Linked DNA regions of Arabidopsis thaliana. The protein of the gene in region 4 interacts with the protein of the main gene of each other region in a pairwise test. Each region holds a gene or a part of one and is shown on either strand. Other genes may lie near its edges.

The links.
Region 1: the proteins of AT5G50840 (region 4) and NACA2 interact in a two-hybrid assay, tested with the Arabidopsis thaliana proteins (one large-scale study listed by BioGRID).
Region 2: the proteins of AT5G50840 (region 4) and AT1G62520 interact in a two-hybrid assay, tested with the Arabidopsis thaliana proteins (one large-scale study listed by BioGRID).
Region 3: the proteins of AT5G50840 (region 4) and AT3G12390 interact in a two-hybrid assay, tested with the Arabidopsis thaliana proteins (one large-scale study listed by BioGRID).

Annotation. Positions count from the first base shown.
Region 1 is NC_003074.8:18,338,267-18,343,993, forward strand, and holds NACA2 (nascent polypeptide-associated complex subunit alpha-like protein 2), read left to right. Parts: upstream 1-2,709; 5' UTR 2,710-2,805; coding exon 2,806-2,904; intron 2,905-2,977; coding exon 2,978-3,062; intron 3,063-3,453; coding exon 3,454-3,572; intron 3,573-3,656; coding exon 3,657-3,977; coding exon of another isoform or gene 3,978-4,007; exon of another isoform or gene 4,008-4,223; intron 4,224-4,277; coding exon of another isoform or gene 4,278-4,303; coding exon 4,304-4,378; downstream 4,379-5,727. Other genes in the region: AT3G49450 (F-box and associated interaction domains-containing protein), read right to left, coding at 1-241; AT3G49460 (60S acidic ribosomal-like protein), read right to left, coding at 2,128-2,175, 2,291-2,350; AT3G49480 (F-box/FBD/LRR protein), read right to left, coding at 4,278-5,306, 5,551-5,727.
Region 2 is NC_003070.9:23,141,836-23,147,145, forward strand, and holds AT1G62520 (sulfated surface-like glycoprotein), read left to right. Parts: upstream 1-2,549; 5' UTR 2,550-2,670; coding exon 2,671-3,513; 3' UTR 3,514-3,696; downstream 3,697-5,310. Other genes in the region: AT1G62530 (hypothetical protein (DUF863)), read right to left, coding at 4,497-5,310.
Region 3 is NC_003074.8:3,940,318-3,944,309, forward strand, and holds AT3G12390 (Nascent polypeptide-associated complex (NAC), alpha subunit family protein), read left to right. Parts: upstream 1-1,939; 5' UTR 1,940-2,026; coding exon 2,027-2,083; intron 2,084-2,340; coding exon 2,341-2,425; intron 2,426-2,706; coding exon 2,707-2,837; intron 2,838-2,939; coding exon 2,940-3,278; 3' UTR 3,279-3,492; downstream 3,493-3,992. Other genes in the region: ARP5 (actin-related protein 5), read right to left, coding at 113-222, 351-453, 556-600, 782-924, 1,161-1,231, 1,368-1,468; ELC (Ubiquitin-conjugating enzyme/RWD-like protein), read right to left, coding at 3,761-3,903. UniProt on the Arabidopsis thaliana protein: May promote appropriate targeting of ribosome-nascent polypeptide complexes.
Region 4 is NC_003076.8:20,682,977-20,690,187, forward strand, and holds AT5G50840 (alpha-taxilin-like protein), read left to right. Parts: upstream 1-2,841; 5' UTR 2,842-2,926; coding exon 2,927-3,218; intron 3,219-3,307; coding exon 3,308-3,375; intron 3,376-3,469; coding exon 3,470-3,581; intron 3,582-3,676; coding exon 3,677-3,744; intron 3,745-3,842; coding exon 3,843-3,920; intron 3,921-4,442; coding exon 4,443-4,507; intron 4,508-4,747; coding exon 4,748-4,814; intron 4,815-4,922; coding exon 4,923-5,105; intron 5,106-5,282; coding exon 5,283-5,339; intron 5,340-5,439; coding exon 5,440-5,535; intron 5,536-5,631; coding exon 5,632-5,763; 3' UTR 5,764-5,946; downstream 5,947-7,211. Other genes in the region: AT5G50830 (nuclear polyadenylated RNA-binding protein), read left to right, coding at 476-1,091, 1,264-1,331, 1,409-1,573; MAB1 (Transketolase family protein), read left to right, coding at 6,695-6,736, 6,858-6,920.

The DNA.
Region 1 (5,727 bases), on a different chromosome or scaffold from region 4:
CCGAGGACCTCTTCAGGAACAGGTTGGTGAGATATGGACTGCGGAGAAGAGAATTCCAATCATTTGACACGCAACGGAACCTCGCGGCCGATTTCGCAGGCACCCTGGAGAGTATTTCGACCATGAGATCAGTTGGCAACGTACCCGAGTTCTCTCCATATTCACCCACTGAAGAAGATATGGTTAGGGCAACATTTTCCTTGGAGACTTTCCTCTTCCGTTTTTTCATCATGGCGGACATTGCACATGAAAAAGAAATGAAACCCTTAGAGTTCTGAGTACCGATAGACAAACACAAGACGACCTTATAAATGAAACCCTTACAGATCCACTAGACAGACACGATTTTGCCACCTTTCGGATTATGTCTACCTACCACATTTTTTTTTTTTATCTTTCTCCCTTTTTCTAACCTTATCTTTTTTTCTTTAATTTCCTTTTTGTAGCATCCTTATTAGATACCATTACATATATAGATAATTTTATCTATAATTTTTCTTCTTTTCCTTCTAAATTCATTGATACCAATCGAGATTACAAAGTTATTATACAAATTATTTATCTATAATTAGGTAGTACTTTTTAATGTATATATACATACATACACTATACTAATTACCCAATCATACCGTTGCTTTCACGCCTTTTTGTATATTTTTAAAATGACTTACTAAAATATTGAGTGTGATTATCTTGAAAAGATATCAAATTTCTATTTAATCAAATTGAATAAATTTTGAGTTCAATTTATTATATGCATAAAAAATATGAAAAGGATATGACTATGAGGGGATCATATAGTTTTATGAAAGTAGATGAAAGAGAATAACATACAGTAAAAGTAGGTTTTAGATTAGAGAAAGAAAAGCAATGGATTAGGTCGATGAACCGCGACCACCACGGCCAAATCGTAGTACATTGATTCTCTTGATATTTTTGCGTAGGCTTGATTGGCCTTCCTCCTTGGGCTTTTAGAGAGGAGTCACCCATCTCAAAACAAGTATCACCAAATCCTGAGTTTAAGGAAGCAAAAATATTGCTTTCAAAAACATTAACTAGATTTTCATTTGCCAATGAACCTCGTTGGGTAGGAATAAATAGGGTGTCCACAGATGAAGGAGTATCAACCATAGAAAGAAGCCTCAGTTGGTGCAGCATTTGAAAAGGCTAGTAAATTTGGCGTTTATTGACGCCAGTAGAGAGAGAGAAGCTAAGTATAGTGGCAGATGGCGTTGCTGGGGGGGCATACTCGTTTGTCCGTGATATAACGTGCTTAACAATTTCATTATGGTCTCTACATTTTTGACGAATGAATGCCTATCACCTAGGGTTTTCTTGTGTTTTAGGAAACATTCTTCCTCAAAATAATTCTCCGCATATCAGATATATATCAACTTAACTGAGAATAGCGATTAGTGCAATAGTTTCAAATTAAAGAATGATGTCCTACAAGTAAACAGCCTATTAATTTCTCAGGGACAAATCTGTCAGTAAACCTCGGAAACAGGCGTTTCGGTATCTAAATACAATCCAAACTTAGTCATATGTAGGGTTTACTGTTTAGGTAAGCGAGCGAAATTAACCGAAAAAGTGTTATAGCCCAACATTGTTGCATTGATTATAGCTCAAAACTCATGATAAAACCTGTCCCAAGTGTTTGCCAAAAAAAGACATGTTCCAAGTAAAATTACTAGGCTTTCCTAAGAATAAAATAAATCTCAAAAAATTGAGTCGACTAAACATCAATTGCCTTCAAAAGATAGGTTAAATCTATTAGTCAACAATCCGGATACAAAATCATCGTCACTCTCTCCCTTCACGTCCTCCTAAAGATGATTCATCACAAGAACAAATTAAACCAAGAAATTAGATATTTATATTGAATATCAACAGTAATTACAATTATGAATTTATGAGTATAGTATATTAATTAGTAAAAGGGTTCAAGGAGAGAAGAATACGATACCTTATTTTTCTCTTCAGCTACTGGGGCAGCTTGAGTGGCACTTCCAGATGAAAGTGCAGAAGAAAAAACGGCCATGGGAGAAGCAGCAGATCCACCGGCACCAGCATTCATGATGAGATCATCCATGTTTTTGTTCTGGCGGAAGACTAGGCCAGTATGATTCAATGTTCAAATTGGCTGTTTTCACCAATGTTGACATCTTTCTCAGCCTAGTTTACAAGTAAACAAAATAGTTTGAGTACATGTTAATTAAAACAAACAACCTACAAGTTAATTAAGGCTCCAGTAGGATTGATGTCAAGATTGAGCCTAGAAAGTACATACGGTGACATGGTCATGGAGGAGGAGAGCTGCGTAAGTGCAAGCTAGCTCACCGGTGGCCATTGTAGGCTAGCTCGCGTCCCACGAAAGATCTACAAAACCATCAATAGAGCTCATCGATTCATAATCTGAACTTCAAGTGAAACATAAAAACAAAACGTGTAGAGTCTCTGAATCGAACCTGTAACCAAACAGAAGATTAGGGGTTAACGTACGAGGTCACTATTTATTTCGATAGAGTTATTAGGGTTTCTAGAGGATTATTAATGTTTCGAAATGGGCACGTGAATATCATGTGCGGCCCAGAGAAAATTTAGGACTGGAATTTCATGGCCTATATAGATAACCAAAATTGTTCTTATTAAGCCTCAGAAGCCCAATAAAAGGCCCAATTGGACAACGACAAAGCAGAACCCGAGTCGTTACCACACACACAGTCGTCACTCACCACCTCACCGTTCCTTATCCATTTGGCTGACGCAAAATCGAATCGGAACCCTAAAATCTCTCCGAAAGCCATGTCTCCTCCTCCTGCTGTAGTCACTGAATCTGCCGATGGACAACCTGAGCAACCACCGGTTACCGCCATTGCTGAAGAGCTGGAGAAAAAGCTTCAGGTTAAGACGATTTTACGTAGATTTGTCACGGTTTTTACTTCTTAGTCTCACGCTCGAGGATTTGTTTTTGCAGACTGATGAACCGATTGTAGAAGATGTTAAAGATGATGAAGACGATGATGATGATGACGAAGAAGAGGAAGACGACGATGCTCAAGGTGCTTTTGATTCCTCCCTCTTTTCTCACCAGTGTAGCTCGGCTTTTAGAGTTTTGTTCGTCATCAATCATTACTTAATTTTCCAGATAGTGTTCTTTAGAAATGTCATTGAATATTAATCATATTAATCATTGGCCTTGTTCGTTCTCACATTTGTAGTTTCGTGTATGCAAAGAGTGTCACATTTCAAGAATTACTGCATAGTTATGTAGAAATGGTTGATTTAGATGTTTCTGTTAACATATAGAGATGTGGGAGATGAATCATTTTGCTGATAGATTGAGGCCAAGATTTATGGATTTACTTGACTAAGTTTCGGAGAATAGAGATCCCAATATGTTTATAGCATAGTGAATTGTTCTTAAAATTGAATGAAGTTTTGTTGTTGTAGGTGTAAGTGGAAGTTCAAAGCAGAGTAGAAGTGAAAAGAAGAGTAGGAAGGCGATGTTGAAGCTCGGTATGAAACCTGTCACTGGTGTTAGTCGAGTAACCATCAAGAGAACGAAAAACGTAAACCTTTCTCTGTTTTCTCAATAAGTTTAGATTTTTTTCTGCGTGTGTGATTCTAATGATACACTACATTAATGTTATCAGGTTCTCTTCTTTATCTCTAAGCCTGATGTCTTTAAGAGCCCGCATTCAGAAACCTATGTTATATTCGGTGAGGCCAAGATCGAGGATTTGAGCTCTCAGCTTCAAACGCAAGCTGCTCAACAGTTTAGGATGCCTGAAATTGGAGCCACATCTCAGAGAGCAGAGGCATCGACAGCCACTGTAGAAGCACAGGTGGAAGAAGATGAAGAGGAAATCGATGAGACCGGTGTGGAGGCTCGTGACATTGACTTGGTCATGACTCAGGCTGGAGTTTCTCGTAGCAAAGCGGTTAAAGCACTCAAGAGTCACGATGGAGACATTGTAAGTGCAATAATGGAACTCACTACTTGAGAGTTAAGAGAGATTGAGTCTCTATGCTTTATTCACTTGCAGATTGTTTTCAAATACTTTTGGATTTATCAGGAAATTGGATTATTGTTGTCCTTACGAGTATCTAATCTAGTTTGTTTGTTATGATGCTTATGCAGTATCTGAGTTGTACTCTGTTTTTCACGACAATGTATTGGAGAAAATACATATCAAAATTCGACTAAACAAAGTTCGAGAAACTTCCAAATTCTAGGATTAGAAACATCACCTACTAACAAATAGACAGATATACTAATATCTAAATGACATTCGAGCAGAGGACAGAAGCACAGACGTTGGAGTCCTATGCATTGATTCTAACTCCTCCATCTTCTGTTTCTCTTCACCACTGAAGGTTGAATTCGGTGAGATTCCCGCTGTTTTTAAATATTTGGAGTTTTCTAGAATGTACCTTATGATTTTTTTCTCATCTTCTCTTCCAACATATCCGTCCCACTCAAAGATCTCGAGATGCGACGACAAACATCTTGGAATAGAACTCGGTTGATTCCATAAAGCTGGGTCATGATTCCATCTCGGAATGTCGGAGTCGACCAGAAAAACTTTAAGCTTAGAACACTTAGAGAGCAAAACCAAAAGTGATTCCAACAAGTCATACTCAGATAGATGTATCATACATTCAACAAGTCGAGAGTAGTTATTAACTGCGTCACACCACGGAACCATTGTATCGAACGGAGATAGCGCAAGATACTTGACCGAAGAGAGAGGCCTCATAAATTTTTCACTAGGGAACAGCTCATCAGTAACTACTGTGACAAGATGGGGCATGTACCAAACTGAGAGAGAGTATCCCACAGTATCAAAGATGTGAAGAGACAATAAATTCGGAGTGTCTGTAACCAAAAACGGATCAGACATATCACTGTCTTCTCGAAACATCATACCTGCTTTGTAGTCTAATCTCAATAAAGAAGGCACTTCAACCCTAAACGTTCTCACATTATCTTCCACACGTCTATTTCGAGTCACCTTTAGATGCTTGAGAACGGGACAACTTGATAGAAGCTTAACATGAGAATCTTCGTCTTTGTACACAACACAGAAGAGATCAAGTTCTCTAAGTGATGGGAGAGAGACTTGACAAGGAACATCCACAAGAATCTTGTCGGAGAGAGTCAATCTCTCAAGCGTTTTGCAAAAGTAAAAGCTCTTAGGCATTCTGATCGGCTCTCCTTTCCAAAGGAGCCTGAAAGTTAGCCAACGCACACGAGTATCAAGCAGTGGCGGACCCACGTTGGAGGCAGGTGGGGCACGTGCCTGATACTAAATTCTATAAATATTTTATAAGCTACTACTAAACAATGTAATACAGGTAACTCAAATGGTTTTCCAGCAAAAAGTGCCTCATACTAACCCGAGTTCAAGTCTCCGCACTGTTATTTTTGTAAAAATAATTTATAATCACAATACAATTTAGGTAATTAAATTATACTTAGTACTATTTATATATATGGTGCCCCACATTAAATTACATTCTAGATCCGCCCCTGGTATCAAGTACTTTTGCAACCCACTTTACAGGATTAACATTAATAGGACATTGTGGACCGAGGTCGATCCACAAACGTTCTAACAAAGGTGCCTTGTGAAAACGGAATGACTCTTCAAGAAACCACCAAACAGTATTGCTTTTTACGTCACTAGTGGTTTCTATGTAATTAAGTCTAGGTAACATCCT
Region 2 (5,310 bases), on a different chromosome or scaffold from region 4:
CTAAAAGTTAAGGATGCGTAGTGATGTTTAGACTTTAGTATTTAAATACTTTGAGTCAAGTATGGACATGAATTCAAACCATTTATGATTACGTGCGGGATGGGAGTATGTATTATTCTATTCTTTTGTTTAGTTTTTCGTAATAGTTTACTAGAATTGCTTTAATTATGTGTTTACATATATCAACGTTGTGGCCTCCTCATGTTACTACACGACCCACTCTCCCAAAAGTTTCTTACTACTAAAAAAATATTTTCACCATAAGATTTCAAGTATAGTGTATATACGGTTTTTAATGCACATGTCTGATATTTTTTTTGGGTTCTAACTTCTAATGTCTGTTTTTTTTTTTACATACACATTTTCTCATAAACACACTTAATATCTCATTTTTACGATTTATTATATACTAATACAACCAAATTAAGCTGGTATAACTCTGGCATGGTTATATATATATTCGATAAATTCCGGAGCTTTGTGTATCAATTCTTATAAATGCATATATATTCATACTGAGCTGTGAATCATATGGTTGGTATAAAATTTAACTAAAGATAATAACAATTATTGTCACATAAAGTAAAGCAATATTTAAGTAGAAGATCATATTTAAAATATGTCTTCTACATATATATAGACATATAGTATAACAAAACACTTATCATCTGTATAAACTAAGCAATTGCGTCAAATAGAAACTTTAAAATATAATTAGTGGCAACCTAAATCTTTATAATATCTAAGATCAAACATGTAGTATAGTAATTTGTGTTAGTATCGTCGATGCACCGTCACTCGAATTTAAACTCGCATCATACATGATACATACTGTTGAAGTGTATAATCGTTCATACTAAGAAACTTTCTAAATTGTCATTGAAATTGAAATTTTCACGGTATGATAGATTATATATTGAGTGACACAAACGGATTTACAAAATATTTGAACACTATTCAGAACCAACAATGTCATATATACGCATTAATCACTAATTAGTCAAATGCTTACTTATGTTAGACAAGGCAATTGTAATATCATCAGGGTATAGATTATTATAATTATTAATTTAAGTGTGTAATTAAGAAAAAATAAGAGGAAGACGACAGATAAGAAAATGGGTGTCATTATGTGAGAATTTCAAAATTTTCAGTGCGATTTGTTTTAATAGTCCGTCGTTGGCAGCTTCCATTCTCTTTCTATTCTTCTATTCTTCCATTTTGTTTTTGTAAATCTCAAAATTCTAAAGATTCCTCCTATTTTTAAAAGCAAACAATTATTTTTATATTAGTAGCATGACAAGTGATTAAGATACGCATATCCTAGTGAGTAGTATACAATTTTCTCTATATTATATTTATATTGTGTATATTTCAGAGTGTTAGTTGAGTTGATTTTATGAATTAAATTATGTGAACTCCTGAACCAGAAAGCAGCCAACTATATCTCGCTGTAGTGCAGAAACATATATTCAGCATTGACAGACACAATTTGTGAAGTTAGATAGCTTTTATCACTTGCTCACTGATACAATGTTTTGTGAAAACACATCAGCTAGTCAGTAGTCAGATTGCATCAAATTTTGGGTTCCATGAGAGGACAAAATAAATTGAAATAGACTTTCATTTTGGTTAGTAACAAAGTTAGTAATTAGTTACAGTAAACTAGCTTATATATATACAATTTCGATAGTTAGAAATAGTTTTTTTTTTTTTTTTTGTGTGCAATTTTTCTCTAATTCATCTTCGAATCTTTTATTATTTTGGTGTTTTACTTTTAAAGTTACAAACAAGCTACCATTGACCACTGATTGATTCAAAGACGACAATGAATCGTGATTCTTACAAAATTCTATGGTGTAGAAAATTAGAAATACATATAGTTTTGTTTTAGCTCACTAGCTTTAATTAATTATGACAAGAAGAAAACTTATAATTTGTATGATAAACAAGATATACAAATTAAGTAGAAATGCGTATTCTAAGAAAAAGGTTGAAATGAAATCATTATTTTGTATTGAATATTTTTTGTAAGATAGCGTAAAATTTACGTTGATTTCGAAATATTTTTGTCATCGACTAAGAGATCCAGATATCTTAATTGACTTGAATAGACATTACATGTGAAATTCTATTGTTGAGATAAAAACAAATAGAGTTACGAAGTTGACGTATTTTTAAAAAATGTTATTCGTGTTCTTTTGTGATCCATTTATGATAAAAAAAAGACAAGAATCACAAGACTGTACCAAAATAAAAACAATAAAATCCGGCTGTCAATTTTTATCTTACATTTATTTCCGTCTTGTTTTTCTGCATTACCTTACATAAAATCAAAAAACAAATTTTCCATTCTTATAATTTTTTTGAAAAAACTTAAAATCAATAAGACAAAAGTGATATGAAGGAATGGGGTCATATCGTAGAATCATCTTACATAAATCAAAAAAATAAATTTATGTTGTAAAAAATTACTATGTTATATTAAACTAAAGGGTAATACCGTAATTTACACTCCCAAGTTTCGACGTACACTTTTAATATTCATCATCATCATCGCGCCATGTTGCTTTCTTCTTCTGCTTCTGTTTCTTTTCCAAGTTTTTAAAGAGAGAGAGAGAGACTGAAAGAAAAACAAAAAACAGAGAGCTTTGGTTCCGGATCTTGATTATGGCAAATGGGTGGGTCAAATCGTTACAATGCAAGTCGAAAGCTTTCGATGATGTTTACAATCCGATTAAAAACCCGAACCCGAATCCGAGCCCGAGTCCGAAACATCTCATGTCAAGCTACAGTTGCAGAAAAAGCACACAGAGTCTAAAAGATGTGATCGAAACCAAAAAACCCAAACCTAAACCGAAGAAACCCAATCCAAAACCGGATAAACGAGAAACCGACCCGGTTTTATCACCATCAACCCGGATCCGATCAACCGGAGTTCGTGATCGTGATCCGTTTTTACCGACATTGACGGAGCTATCGGAAGGTCATCAGTCACGTAATGTGGTGGAGATTATCTTTCAGACGAGCTGGGGTCCGAAACCGTTTTCGGGTCGGGTCGAAATGATTTTCAAAGTGCAAAACGGGTCTAAGACTTTGACCCGGTTCGAAGAGTATCGTGAAGCCGTGAAAGCTAGGAGCGTGGGGAAAGCGCGTGAAGAGAACGCGCGTTCGGTTGCCGACGGGAATGAAACAATGAGGTTTTACTGTTTGGGTCCAAGTTACGGTGGAGGTGGCAGCGCGTGGGGTATTTTGGGAGGAAAAGGCGGTGGCGCGTCGATATATACGTTTGCCGGAAGTAGCACGGCGAATGAGAAAGCTGGCGGTGGGAAAGGGAGGAAGGCAATGTTGGTTTGTCGGGTCATAGCGGGTCGGGTCACTAAGCAAAACGAGTTAAAGTATGACTCGGATTTGAGGTCACGGTTTGACTCAGTGAGTGGTGACGACGGAGAGTTGCTCGTGTTCGATACACGTGCGGTGTTGCCTTGTTTTCTCATAATCTATCGGTTGTAAAAATTCAAAAAAATAAAAGTTATTTTAGTTTCTAACTTTTTGACATTGTAATTTCATTTATCAACGCAATTTTCCCCTAATGTTTAGGGATTTGTTTTTATTTCCAATGTAAAATTGGTAGAAAATTGTGTTGATAAATGGTAATTAATTTTGTTGACGACAAGAAAAAATGGCAATTAGTAGATTTTCTTTCTTTCTTTCTTTCCCAACTAGTAGTAAAATATTTTCTTATTAAATGATGTCGTAAATAGTGAATATTTTGGTGCGTTGGCTTTTACAATGCCATTAATAGATTTTATTACACAGTCAATTGTTATTAATTTTTACAGTTGGGTTTTGATTCTACATTCAATTTTCTTCCATCTATAGTAAAATATTTTATCCACTAAAATATCTTTTACGTTACTTACACGACTACTTCCTTAAAGCGAAAAGCTATAGTTGGAAAATTTCAAATTTTGTAACGTTTCTTTAATATAAAATAAATAATTTCAAAATTTTAACTGAGAGATGAGAGTAGTTCAAAAGAAGGAATAATCAGTGAAAAGTGATTCCCACTAAAGAGCATTTGTAAAAGATTTAAAGTCAAAAAAAGAAGAAGAGAAAAAGAGTAAAAATTGAAAATGAGAAATCATGAAAGTTACATTGGATCCGCAGGGAGAAGAATATTTAGAATGCACAAGTGATGAAAAATTGAAGAAATAACAGAAGCGTAAAATTTAGGCCTGTTGATGTAAAAAAAAAAACAATTAGGCCTGTTGGGCCCATTAGGCCCATAAAATAATTTACGGAATCAGTCCTAGCGAATCTTTCAAGAATTTAAAAGAACCAACTAATCTTTGAAGATCATAGACTCGAACAAAGTTCCAACTTCCTCCTCTAACTTTCAATATAGTGAATGATTTTGAAAACTGCTATATGTTAAAGCTAAACCAATGGAGCTAGAGCAAATGTCTATAAGACCTCAAGCACCGTGAATTTCATCATCTCCTTCTTTTACCTACATACGTTTGAGTCAAACCTTTGGTGTTTCTCAGGTTTGGTTTGCATTTTCCATCTTTAGTCTTCCCCTGCATTTTCTTGTAATCTCTCGATCTAAAAACCGTCTCTAAGAGGTTAATATCTTCTCGAATCTCATGTCTAGAGAGCGATACAAGCTCCGGGAGTATCTCCTTTTGGAAATTCTTCATTCTCCTCCCTCTTCTCAGCTTGACTCCAAACTCTTTCTTCTTACTGAAGTCATATATGGCCTTTGATGATACACAACAGAGCTCTTCAGGGACAGTTTCTCTTATTTCTAAAGTATGTAGCTCAAATGAATCGCAAGAACGACCCGGTTCTTGGACACCGTGACTTTGATTATGAGAAACAGCTGAGATGTGGACTAAACATTCAGCTGCCATTTGAATTACTTCACACGAATCTTCTCCTTCAGTCCTTGAATTGTTTTCTGCGGTGCAACATGAAGCTGGAGATGCTGAACAATCTTTTTCATGTACACCATCTAAACCGCATTGATGATCAATTGAAACCGGCTCGTAAGCCGGGGGTTTATTAAGATCCAGCAAACATGATCCATCTGAAATATTCACTTTCTCACTTTTCTTGCCACACAAATTTGTGCCATATGCTTCAATCCTCAAATCTATGCTATCTTGGGAAGAACCAATGCTGTGGAATTCTCGGTATTCGACGCTTTCATGATTTTCAGGAAGTTGAAGATCACAATCTTCCATCAGTGGATTAAGGCAGTTTCTATTCACCTGCTCATTACACGACACAAAGCTCTCGTCTCTT
Region 3 (3,992 bases), on a different chromosome or scaffold from region 4:
TATAAGAACTATCAGACTAATGACTAAGTGATATCAGGAAAGGAATTGTTTGAAGAAAGAAAGTAAACAGGGTTGACACCAGCTTGCATTCATAGTAGTCATAGATACATACCGGAATGGAGTGTGTTGTCGTGAATCCAGGACAGAGAACAATTCCATCTTTTTTACAAATTCCATGTAGTTGATTGTATTTGTAGCTGAAAGCAGCATCGACTCCAAATGCTGTGACGACATGAGAGTTAATGAATTAATGAAAACAATAAACAAAAGGTTCCATAATTACAGTATCAAACATTCAGTTCAAGAAGACGATCAAATTCAGAAACCAAAAAAATAACGCAGATTCATACCAACTGCAGGCACTCCATAAGTCTCAAATAGCAGTTCTGCCATTTTGCTACGAGATTGAACTGGGTTGCATGCACATTCAGTGATTAGGATTGGATGATCAATCTGTACTGCCATCAAATGACGTTAAATGACGAGACAAAATTCTGACAGGTAGTAAGATGAAACTCAAAATCAAGATGAAAACAAAAAAGTTCTAGGACGTACCCCTGATCCATTAGCACCCAAACGATCAAAGGCGTAGTCAAGAATCTAAAAAGCAGAAAAATCAATTAGACAAGTGGGTTCTTCAGTGATTGCATTATTTAATTAGCATAAACATCAAAGAACTTGGAATACAAAGAAATGATGAGAGCAAGAAATTCCTGGAACAGAAGACCTTACAAATATACAATACAATTCGTTATTGAATAAACGGGTATAGAATCCATACATATTCCATGATCTCAAACTGATAAACCACATTGCTGTCAAAAGGGGAACGTGGTCCAGAGCGAGTGCAATCAAAGTACTTCATCATGGAAGGATCCAGGTCGCCAACAATAGTAACAGTTTCACCTGTACTAGAGAGAAGAACTAACCATTACAACAACATTACAAACACACCTAGAAGATAATTTAGAAGCAGAGCAACTTTTAAGCAAAATAGGATAAAGCATAGTTATATATATCTAGAAATCGTAGCCAAAACTTCAAGCAACTCTGCTCTAGTACTTTGAAACATATCATTGGCTAAATTTGTTACTCTAGCAGCGAAACAAGCAATTAAGACACATACATAGAAGCGGGAAAATAGAGAAAAAAATAAAGACCTGTAGCTTTGTGGCGTGGTCTTTGCACGATATTGCGGAAAACAACACGAGGCTCAGTTTCTCCTGCCCACCTAAAAAAACGCAAGAGAATTTCAAAATTTAACACGATTTTTACGAATTGGGGAAGAGAATTACTAAATACCAAAAACCTCAAGTAAAAGTGAGTTAGCGATAAGAAGGAAATTAGGGTTTATGGAATAAAAGTACCCGATACGGAAGTAGGAAGCGCCATTATCGATAACAATGGGAATCGAAGATGGATATGTATTGTAATCACTCTGCCTACGTATCCTCGAAACGAACGCCATGGCTTTCTCTTCCTACTGCGGTGTTGATTTAGTCGCCGTCGTCAGTCATCGACTGATTTTGTAATAAGTAAATTCGGCCACCTAGTTCTCCGGTGAAAGAAAGAAGAAGACACAAATGGAGCTCCGTGACGTGGAAAAACATTATTAGGCCCAAAACCCTCTGACTTAAAAAAGACTTGATAATTGAATAAATAGTTTAATGTCGTTGACATAAACGTAAGCCGTCTTAGCTCAGTGGTAGAGCGCGTGGCTTTTAACCACGTGGCCGTGGGTTCGATCCCCACAGACGGCGTTTTCGTATTCCGACATAGGTTGTCTTTTTTGCTGCTTTTCTTTAACTGAAATATTCCGACCAATTTTTTCCAGCTGATAAGCCCAACGGACAATGTGTAATATTGCGATTTTATATAAAAGTTTTGGGCCTTTTGATTTTCCTTGCAATAATTAACACTCGGTCTTCTCCAACCTAACAATTATTCTAGGGTTTTAGAGTTTCCGCACGAATCACGAATCTCTCTCTCTTTCACACACTTCACACTTTCAATATACACTCTCATTATGACTACCGAAGAGAAAGAGATCCTCGCCGCCAAATTGGAAGAACAGAAGATCGATGTAATTGATTACTCTTTTATTCTTTACCTATCTATCATCTCTGTTTATTTGTTGTTATTTGTCTTTTAGTCTGGAAATCATTAGACTGAATTCAGAGTTTTTTAATCTGTTCCTGCCCAGATCTTTGCTTTTGTTTTGTTTTGTATATGCAAATATTGGACCTTATTATAAGACTTTAGATCTGAATTTACATGTAATTAACCTTTGTGGATTCTCTCATTTTCCCAATTAGTTCAATTATTGATGATTTGTTGTAGCTCGATAAGCCCGAAGTTGAGGACGATGATGATAACGAAGACGATGACTCTGATGACGATGATAAGGATGATGACGAGGCTGATGGTAAAAGCTTTCTACATTTCATTCATCAAATTACTGGAATAATTAGTATAGTTCCTAGTATTTCTGTTAGCTTACATCTGGGGCAGATTTGTTGATGCTCACGTGTATGTGTAGATATGTAGCAATGATAATTATATGGCCATAGCTTGAAAATTTAGTGAAAATGAATCCATCTTCTTTGTTTTCAAATAATCTTTGCGTTGACTTGTGTTGATAGACATGTTTGTGGAACTTAATGTTATCATCTATTTTATTCTTGTTGATTGGTGATTGGAAAACAGGACTAGATGGAGAGGCAGGAGGTAAGTCAAAACAAAGCAGAAGTGAGAAGAAGAGTCGCAAAGCCATGCTCAAGCTTGGCATGAAACCCATCACTGGTGTTAGCCGAGTCACCGTCAAAAAGAGCAAGAATGTTTGTGTTTTCTCTTTAATATTCAGTCAATCTTAATTTCTTTTATTCACACATCAGGCTTTAATATTGATCTGTTTTGGGGACATTTGCTTTGGAACACAGATCTTGTTTGTCATATCAAAGCCTGATGTGTTCAAGAGTCCAGCATCAGACACATATGTGATCTTTGGAGAGGCGAAGATCGAGGATTTGAGCTCTCAGATCCAGTCGCAAGCAGCAGAGCAATTCAAGGCACCAGATCTCAGCAATGTGATCTCAAAGGGTGAGTCATCGAGCGCTGCAGTGGTTCAGGATGATGAGGAGGTTGACGAGGAAGGTGTTGAGCCAAAGGACATTGAGTTGGTGATGACTCAAGCAGGAGTGTCTAGGCCAAATGCTGTGAAGGCTCTCAAGGCTGCAGATGGAGATATTGTCTCTGCCATCATGGAGCTTACCACCTAAACCAAAGTCTTTTCTACTTAGATGTGGTTTAACCTGAGTTATGTGCCAGAGATTGTCCAAAGAATTCGGAAATTTTTGGTTTCAATGTTTTTCATGAAGTGATTTTCGATGTTGTATCAGTATAAACCTCATAAGTTTTTGATTTTCAGTTTGATTTTATATTGAATATCAAGTCCAAGTGTTTACCATTATAGACTTGTAGTTATAATTTGTCAAGTATCAGTCTGTTTAATGAACCGAACCCAAAGGATATGGACACCCCTTCACTCCAACCAATACGAGGTATCAACTGAGGTTAATCGATACATGCAGTACAATGTACAAAGTGCTACAAGTGGAGGTTCATAGACTAGAAAAGTATTCAACAGGACCTGATTCTAAGAGAAATTGTTATAAAGCCGATGTTTATTACCTAACTCCTCAAGGAAGGAGGCTAGGGAGTTGCAAGGAAGGAGCTGGTTTTATCCAAGACTACGAAAGATTCAAAGGCACACTGATGAAGCAAAACAAGGCGTAAGGATGTTGCAGTTGCTGATAAGAAGACTTGACAAGGTTTCATCATTGATGGTGGAGCTAATGGGTTCAATTCGACAAGGTTTTAGTTTCCTTTTGCATGGTGAATAAACTAAAGCAACATTTTTTTAATGGAGAAGAAAGAAGAGTCATCAAAACTGTTCCAATATCCAAAACAAAGATACTAACATTCTCAAACCA
Region 4 (7,211 bases):
CCGTTTTTCGGGGTTTTTTCTTGACTAAACAAATAATCTTGGAGACATTAATGATGTTATGAGTCATGTGACCAATACAGTTATTTAGACATCAAAGTTATCTGCAAATTCATTAGAGACGAACGGTAATAGTCACACATGACAATAAGAATGAAGATGTCACTTAGATAAAAATTAAACCAACTCATGTATTTGCCTAAATAAATCACTATTTACCAAATTTAGCAAACAAATCGTAACTAACCAATCAACATCACACAATCTCAACCCTTTAATAATCTCACATTCTCTCGCTTCTTCTTCTCGGATTCCTAAATATTATCATTCATTCATCATCCTCCCAACTCATTGGCTCTCTTCTCTCCTCTCCTTTGCCTATTTTCTAAAATCTTCTCCGGCCACCCACCGGCCACCTTATGATCTTTTTGGTGGCGGCGATTACACCATCAATTTGTTAGTTTATTTATATATTAATATGGGTTGCGGTGGCTCGAGGCTTGGAGGTGTGGCGACGACAAGGGCGGAAGAAGGCGGGGTTGTGCCACTTCCAGCGGGAATACGTCCCCTTCTCCGGCGAAGGTTAGAGGAGATGAAGAAACGGAGCCATGCAGGCGTCTTGAAAGGGAGCCAGACGTTGTCTAAGAAAGAGCTTCTTAGGCATAACTCTTCCGAGGACGGAGAAGATACGGAGGAGAACGACGGTAGCTTGAAGGCGTCCGCTAAGGTTGCTCCGGCGCCTGATCATAATGTAGAAGAGAAGAAAGAGGTTATTTATGAAAAGATTCCATCCAAAGATGATGTTAAAGAGGTGAAGGAAGAAGTAGTTGTGAACAAACAAGAAGAGGACAATCATCATCAAGATGTTGTGGAGAAACAAGAGGAGGAAAATAAAGAGGTTGTGAAGAAGCAAGAGGAGGAAAATCATGATGATGATGTGGTCGTCATCAATGTTAAGAAGGAAGGAGATGATGGTAAGAATCATGATGTTGATGAAGGGAGTATCAACAACTTTGATGAGAGAATGATTGGTCCTGGATCTCCAAGCTTTAGGGTTTATTGCGTCGATGTTCCTTCTGATGATGATGATGAAGGTAAATCATATGTTCTTATACAAACACACATATATACATGTATAAATCATTTACTATTTGTATTTGTATATGGATGCATGCATTGTTAGAGACATATATATGTTTATATATGAAATGCTTGTTATATTATGTAGTTTCGTTATTGAAACAATTTATCCATTCACTATTGCAGAAAAAGATGTAGAAGACGCGAGAAAGTCGATGGAAACCGAAAGCGTCACGACAGAGATAAAAGAGGTGGTCAATCACATTAATTCACATTATTGATTATTTGATCTATGAGGATCTCTAACAATGATATATTTGTATTTCTATAGGACGGAAGCATTGTCAAAAAGGAGAAAAAAGAAAGAAGAGGAAAGAGGTTCGGAATCGCATTGCCGAGGAAGTATTTAGCAAATGTGACTGCGCCGTGCTATGCAGGTGGAGGATGCATGGGAAACACTCATTCTCGTTTGGTGCAAGAGAAATCGAGCCAGTGATCGATCAAAATATGTTTGCCATCTTTGCATTGACTGATTTGTTGAAGTAAGAATGGTGTGGTGTACGTACGGGATCACGATGAATAATCAAAACCACCTTACGATTTTAGACCTTTGATTTGTTTTAAGAGACGCTTGTTTCAGAATTTGTACAACCTCTTCTTCTTCACCTTTGCTTTCTTTGATCAGGATAATTAAGTTAGTGTTTGACGAATTTACTTTTTTCCACGTGGAAAGATGTAATTAATTGAACTTGTGCAATAAAAAAAGTGTTGTCTAAATGTCAAATTTATTGTTACATTAACCAATGAAAATAAAATTAGAGTAACATATAGGAAACTGCAATTATAGAAGAAAAAACACACTAAAAGGTGTAAGTAATTGAACTTTGTGAATTCCGTTTGTTTTCGGAATGCACAAGTGTTAGTCATAATAGGAAAGATAAAAATCTTAATTACAAATCCTAAAATACAATTTTTAATTTATTTTTTAGAGTTTATATTAATATGTCGTCAAAAACGGTATATTATTCAGAACAAAATTATCGTTGACCATTAGTTAATTAATAACCAAGTTCAAATTTGATAATTTGAAAGTTTATTTAGACAAAATTAATTAGTTGAAAGTTTTATCAATGATGGCCTCTTAAATTTTTAACTTTTTTTTGTTGAGTTTTATAAAAAAGAAAAAATGGTTTTCAAACTAAATTTGTTTATGATCATGTTTATCCGAGTTAAGCCCAATTTGAGATCTTTGTCAGTAATGACTAAGAGTACCTCCCGCATATAGAATTCATGTAGTTTCTAAAACATATATATATTTTTTTAACTTTTAAATATATATATTTTTTTAATTGTATGAGTTTCTACTAAAAAATTACTATTGAAGTTGGTCTAAGTTGCGAGACCAAATTTTTATATGCTTTCGGTTCGAATTGACATTTCTCTGTGTAAACGAAGCATCAATAAGAATTTATCAAACTTGAATGTAACACCATTTCTTTAGTTGATCATTTCCAAACATTTATTAATCAAATAAAATTGAATTTCAAAGTCACGTGATAATGATGATACTCAAATTTAAAAAACCAATAACACTTTATTTCAACATTTCTATGAAGAAATCAATTATTAACACTTAAAGTTATTAATTGAATAACAACGAACAACATTTAATTTAGTCAAAATTAGATTTTTTTTTTCTTTTTTTTGGTTTTATTGTTAAGATTTTATACCAAATAAAATTTTACAAACGAATCTAAAAGAAAGAACAAATTTAAACTTACCTATCAGAATTGTTGTAAGATATTTGGGTTTTCTTCGTATTAGGTTTCATCAGATCCAGACTCAAAAAATGGAGTCACCGCACTCGAATTTGCTCCCTGAAGTCGATTCTTTACCCGATGGATTCGTCGACGGCGCAACAGAGCCGCCTCTCAATTCTCCCAAGACCCAGGAAGAAACAACAAACCATGAAACTGTTGCGATCGAGAAAACAGAGAAGCCAAGAACTTTTCCGGTTCCGTTGTGTGAAACTGATGGTAATGAAGATGACGAAGTAGCTGACCTAATTCAAGAATCAATCAAGCTTGAGTTAGAGTTCGAGCAGAAAGAAAAAGAAGCTTCTCCTCCTATTTCTCAAACATGTGAGTGAAAATGTGAAGCTTAATTTCTTTATAGGAATTTGCTTCTTTTGTAACCTAAAGTTTGTTTCTTTGCTTTTTGTTTGAGTTAGTGTCAGAAGGGTCAACTCAAAATTCAACCTTGTCTAAGGAAATGGATTCACTCAAACCCAAAAAACAAGTCAGTATTTTGATGAGTTCTTCAATCTTGTTGCTTTGAGAAGAATATATGTTGAAGATGATGTATCTGATTTGTGTGCTGATGATATTGAAAGCAGGAGGTGGTTGAGAGCAAGCGTAAGGGTTCAAAGAATATGTTCAAATCAGAGAAAGAGTTTTTGGAATTTATGCTCAAGTATCAGCAAGTCCTTTCTGAAAGAGATTCTGGTAATAGGATATCAATAAAACCAAACTAGTTTTGTGTTACCTTCATCGTTTAATGCTTTATAGTCTGTACTCATCATTATTGTTTTTAACCGTAGCTATTACTGTTCGTGACAAGCTTGAATCACTTTGTAGAGAGTTACAACGTCAGAACAAAATGTTAATGGTTTGTTCTTTCTTTCTTCTTGCTTACTCTACTTGGTGTGTCTTGTTTTGAGGAACTAACCTTTTGGTGTGTAAACTAAATGTTCCTTTGTATAACAGGAAGAATGCAAGAGGGTTTCAACTGAGGGACAGACTTTAAGATCGGATTTATCGACAAAGTTCCAGGATGCTATAATGGTAAGTTGAACACATTTTTCTTTCGATGTGAATTCTTCCCAGGGTTTTGATCTTTGCTGAATATAGAAATTTGAGCCATTTTGCCGTCGGTATTGGCAGTTTTAGAGAGGAACAAGTATTGGATAATAGCTTTGTTTTGTGTTTCTAAGTATGCAAATCTTAAATGCACATCATTTATTGATCCTTGTTATATTTTCTTAGGATATTATCTCCTTTAATCTTCCGTGCTATATGCTTTGGACAGTCATGGCAATATCTTTTTCTTCTTTCTGAAACTCTCTACACTGACATTGGCAAATGTTAGTACCGATCTACACTAAAATTTAGTCCTTGGAAATAATTGGAACTAAACAAAGTAGAAAATTGTCCATATTGGTTTCAAGTTACAGATTGATAGAACTAAGTTTGATGAATTGCTTGCAGGCTTTTGCAACATCAAAAACTTACAAAAACAAAATCAGAATTTATTTGATTGATTTTTTTCTTATGCTCTCTACCTTCCTAATCCTCTTTTGTTTATAGGATGTGAGCATTAAGTTGGACGAGCAAAAGAATGAAAGCCTCACGCAACTCAAAGAAAATGAGATGTAAGCGGAAAGAACTCAATCATAACATGTTCATTTGGAGTAGGAAAATTATAGTATGTTTATTATATATGTATAGTTTTGTTGCAGTTTAAGTTAATACAGTATGAATATGCTCGCCCACATTCTGGAAACTATATTCTTACATGTGTATTGCTTTTAAAACGGCTTTGCTTGTATCAGCTCAGTAACATATTATAAAGGTCCATTCTAATTACAATGGGTTTGTTTCTTAATCTCCAGGTTAAGGACGAAGTTGAAGCACCTGGCTGATCAATTTATGCTTTCAGAACAACAACATGAGCAAAGGGTAATTAAATTATTCGTTTTTTCCAACTATATATGAAGCATGATTTAGCCAAAATAATTGGCTTAACTGCGATGTCTACTTGACAACATCTCATTTTCGAATGGACAGTTGAAGCAGAAAACACTTGAGCTACAGATCTCTGCTTTAAAAATTAAACAGCACGAGGAGAAACTCATCCATGAACAATCTCAGATGAAAGTTTACGCAGATCAAGTTTCTCAGCTTTTGTCTACTGAGAAAAATTTGCGGTTGCAGCTGACTTCTGATGGAGATAAATTCCAGCAGTTCCAGGTCTGCTCTCTTCCCCTTTTACACTTCCTAAATAAGTCTTAATCGTTTTCTCGATGCACTGTGATCACAGATAATAAGATTGCTTGCTTTGGGTGTGATACAATACTCTCTTAAGATATGTTTTTTACTGATATTATATGAAAAGACTGTAAAGTGAAAGGCTGTTTGGTTATGCAGGACGCGTTGGTTAAGAGCAATGAGGTGTTTGAAACATTCAAACAAGAAATCGATAAGGTAATAACAGTTTTATACCTTCGAGGTTCTTTGAAAGATCATAAGTGCTATTTATGTGATCTTATTAACTTGATCCTGTCTCTATTGGTTTTTTGAGTAGATGTCAAAAGCAATCAAAGAACTCAGAAAAGAAAACGCATTCTTGAAAAACAAAACTGAGAAGTCGGATATCACTCTCATAGAACTCGTCGAAGAGGTAAAACAAAACCGTCTGTTCTCTCACTATCTTTAAGGGTTTGTAGATTTTGGTTATGAAACCAGTAAAATCACACTTTTGGTTGACCTTGAACAGCGTGAAAGATTGAAGAAACTGTTGGAGAAGACAAAGAAACAGAAAGACAAGCTTGAATCACTTTGCAGATCCCTTCAAGCTGAAAGAAAACAGAAAGAAACTAACAGTACTGATTCTGCTGTTCAACCATGAAACAGAGAGAGACTATGAATTCAGTGTTTTGCTCTCTTTTTTTCTTTGTCAGAGTTTTGAACTAATTAGCACTTCAGATTACAAAACTACAATTAGACTCCAAATTCACTTTAAAATGTAGAAACATATCACATCATATTGATTCTGCTCTTTTGCGAGCTAAGTCCATTTTATCTCACAAAATGCAAATTGATAATAGTTAATTCAGCTGCAGCTTCTGCAAATCTCCAGGTTCACAAGAGAATGATTCTGCATTCACTAAGTTCACAACCGATTTGGAGAAGAATAGCTACTTCAACATCTGCCATAATGACCAGCTGATTCTTTGCAATCTTAAACCAAACCGAACCGAACCATTTGAACCGAAGAAAAGTTAAACCGATATGGATTATGATTCGGTTTGCATCTTTATGGATTCGGTTAGTTAAAAAAAGCGAATCTCTCTGAATTAAAATAAGTATAACGTCAAATTAAATTTGGTCACATCCACTTTCCTTTACAAACTTCAACAACATCAAATGGAATAATATAATATTGGAAAAGAAAAAGTATATAACGAAATGTCAACCATCGATCATGACCAGCAGATATTAATCGGACGGCTCCTGTACAATTCGATGAAGAAGACCTACTCTCTCATTTATTCAGCTAATTGAAATCATTTCGTTGTGTTTTAGAACAACAACAAAAAAACAGTGCCCTTTCGCTCACGCTTTGAGTCGTATCTGCTCTCTTCTTAATCCGCCGTCTCTCACTTTTTCGCCGGCGTGGTTAGATCGTACAAAGCTCAGGTAATCAAATCTATCTCCGATGTTGATCTACTCTGTTTCTCCGGATTTATGATTTCTCTATTCAATTTCCGATGATTGTTAGATCTACGGGGCTTTTGATCCTGCGATTACTGTTGCTTTTTGTTTGTTAATCAGAGAGAATGTTGGGAATCTTGAGGCAAAGAGCCATCGATGGAGCTTCGGTATGAGACTTTTTTACTCCTTTTATTTGTTTCAGTGCGATTACGATTTTGAGATTTTTACTTGGGAGATTTTTAGGTTCGGATTTTGTTTTCTGATTTTCGAAATTTGGTTTTTGATCAGACTCTTAGGAGGACGCGATTCGCATTGGTTTCTGCTAGGAGCTATGCAGCTGGTGCAAAAGAGGTAAAATGTCTTTTATTGAATTTTCGGATGGTTTAGAAGCGTTATTATACAGGTTTGGTTTTAATGAGCTATTGGAAGATAATTGTGGTCAATTTAGGATGATTAGAGCTGTTAATGTCTGCCAAACCACTTTTCTACTCTAAACTTTTTCTTTGGATGATAGCTTAATGTTGTCTTCTGCAAACTATGTCGATTACTTTTTTTTTTGTGTTCACCGAAATGTCGAGTTTAGCTATATTGGATGTTTTTTGATTTTGTAAACTGTGAGCATCCAAGAAGCGCAAGGGTCGA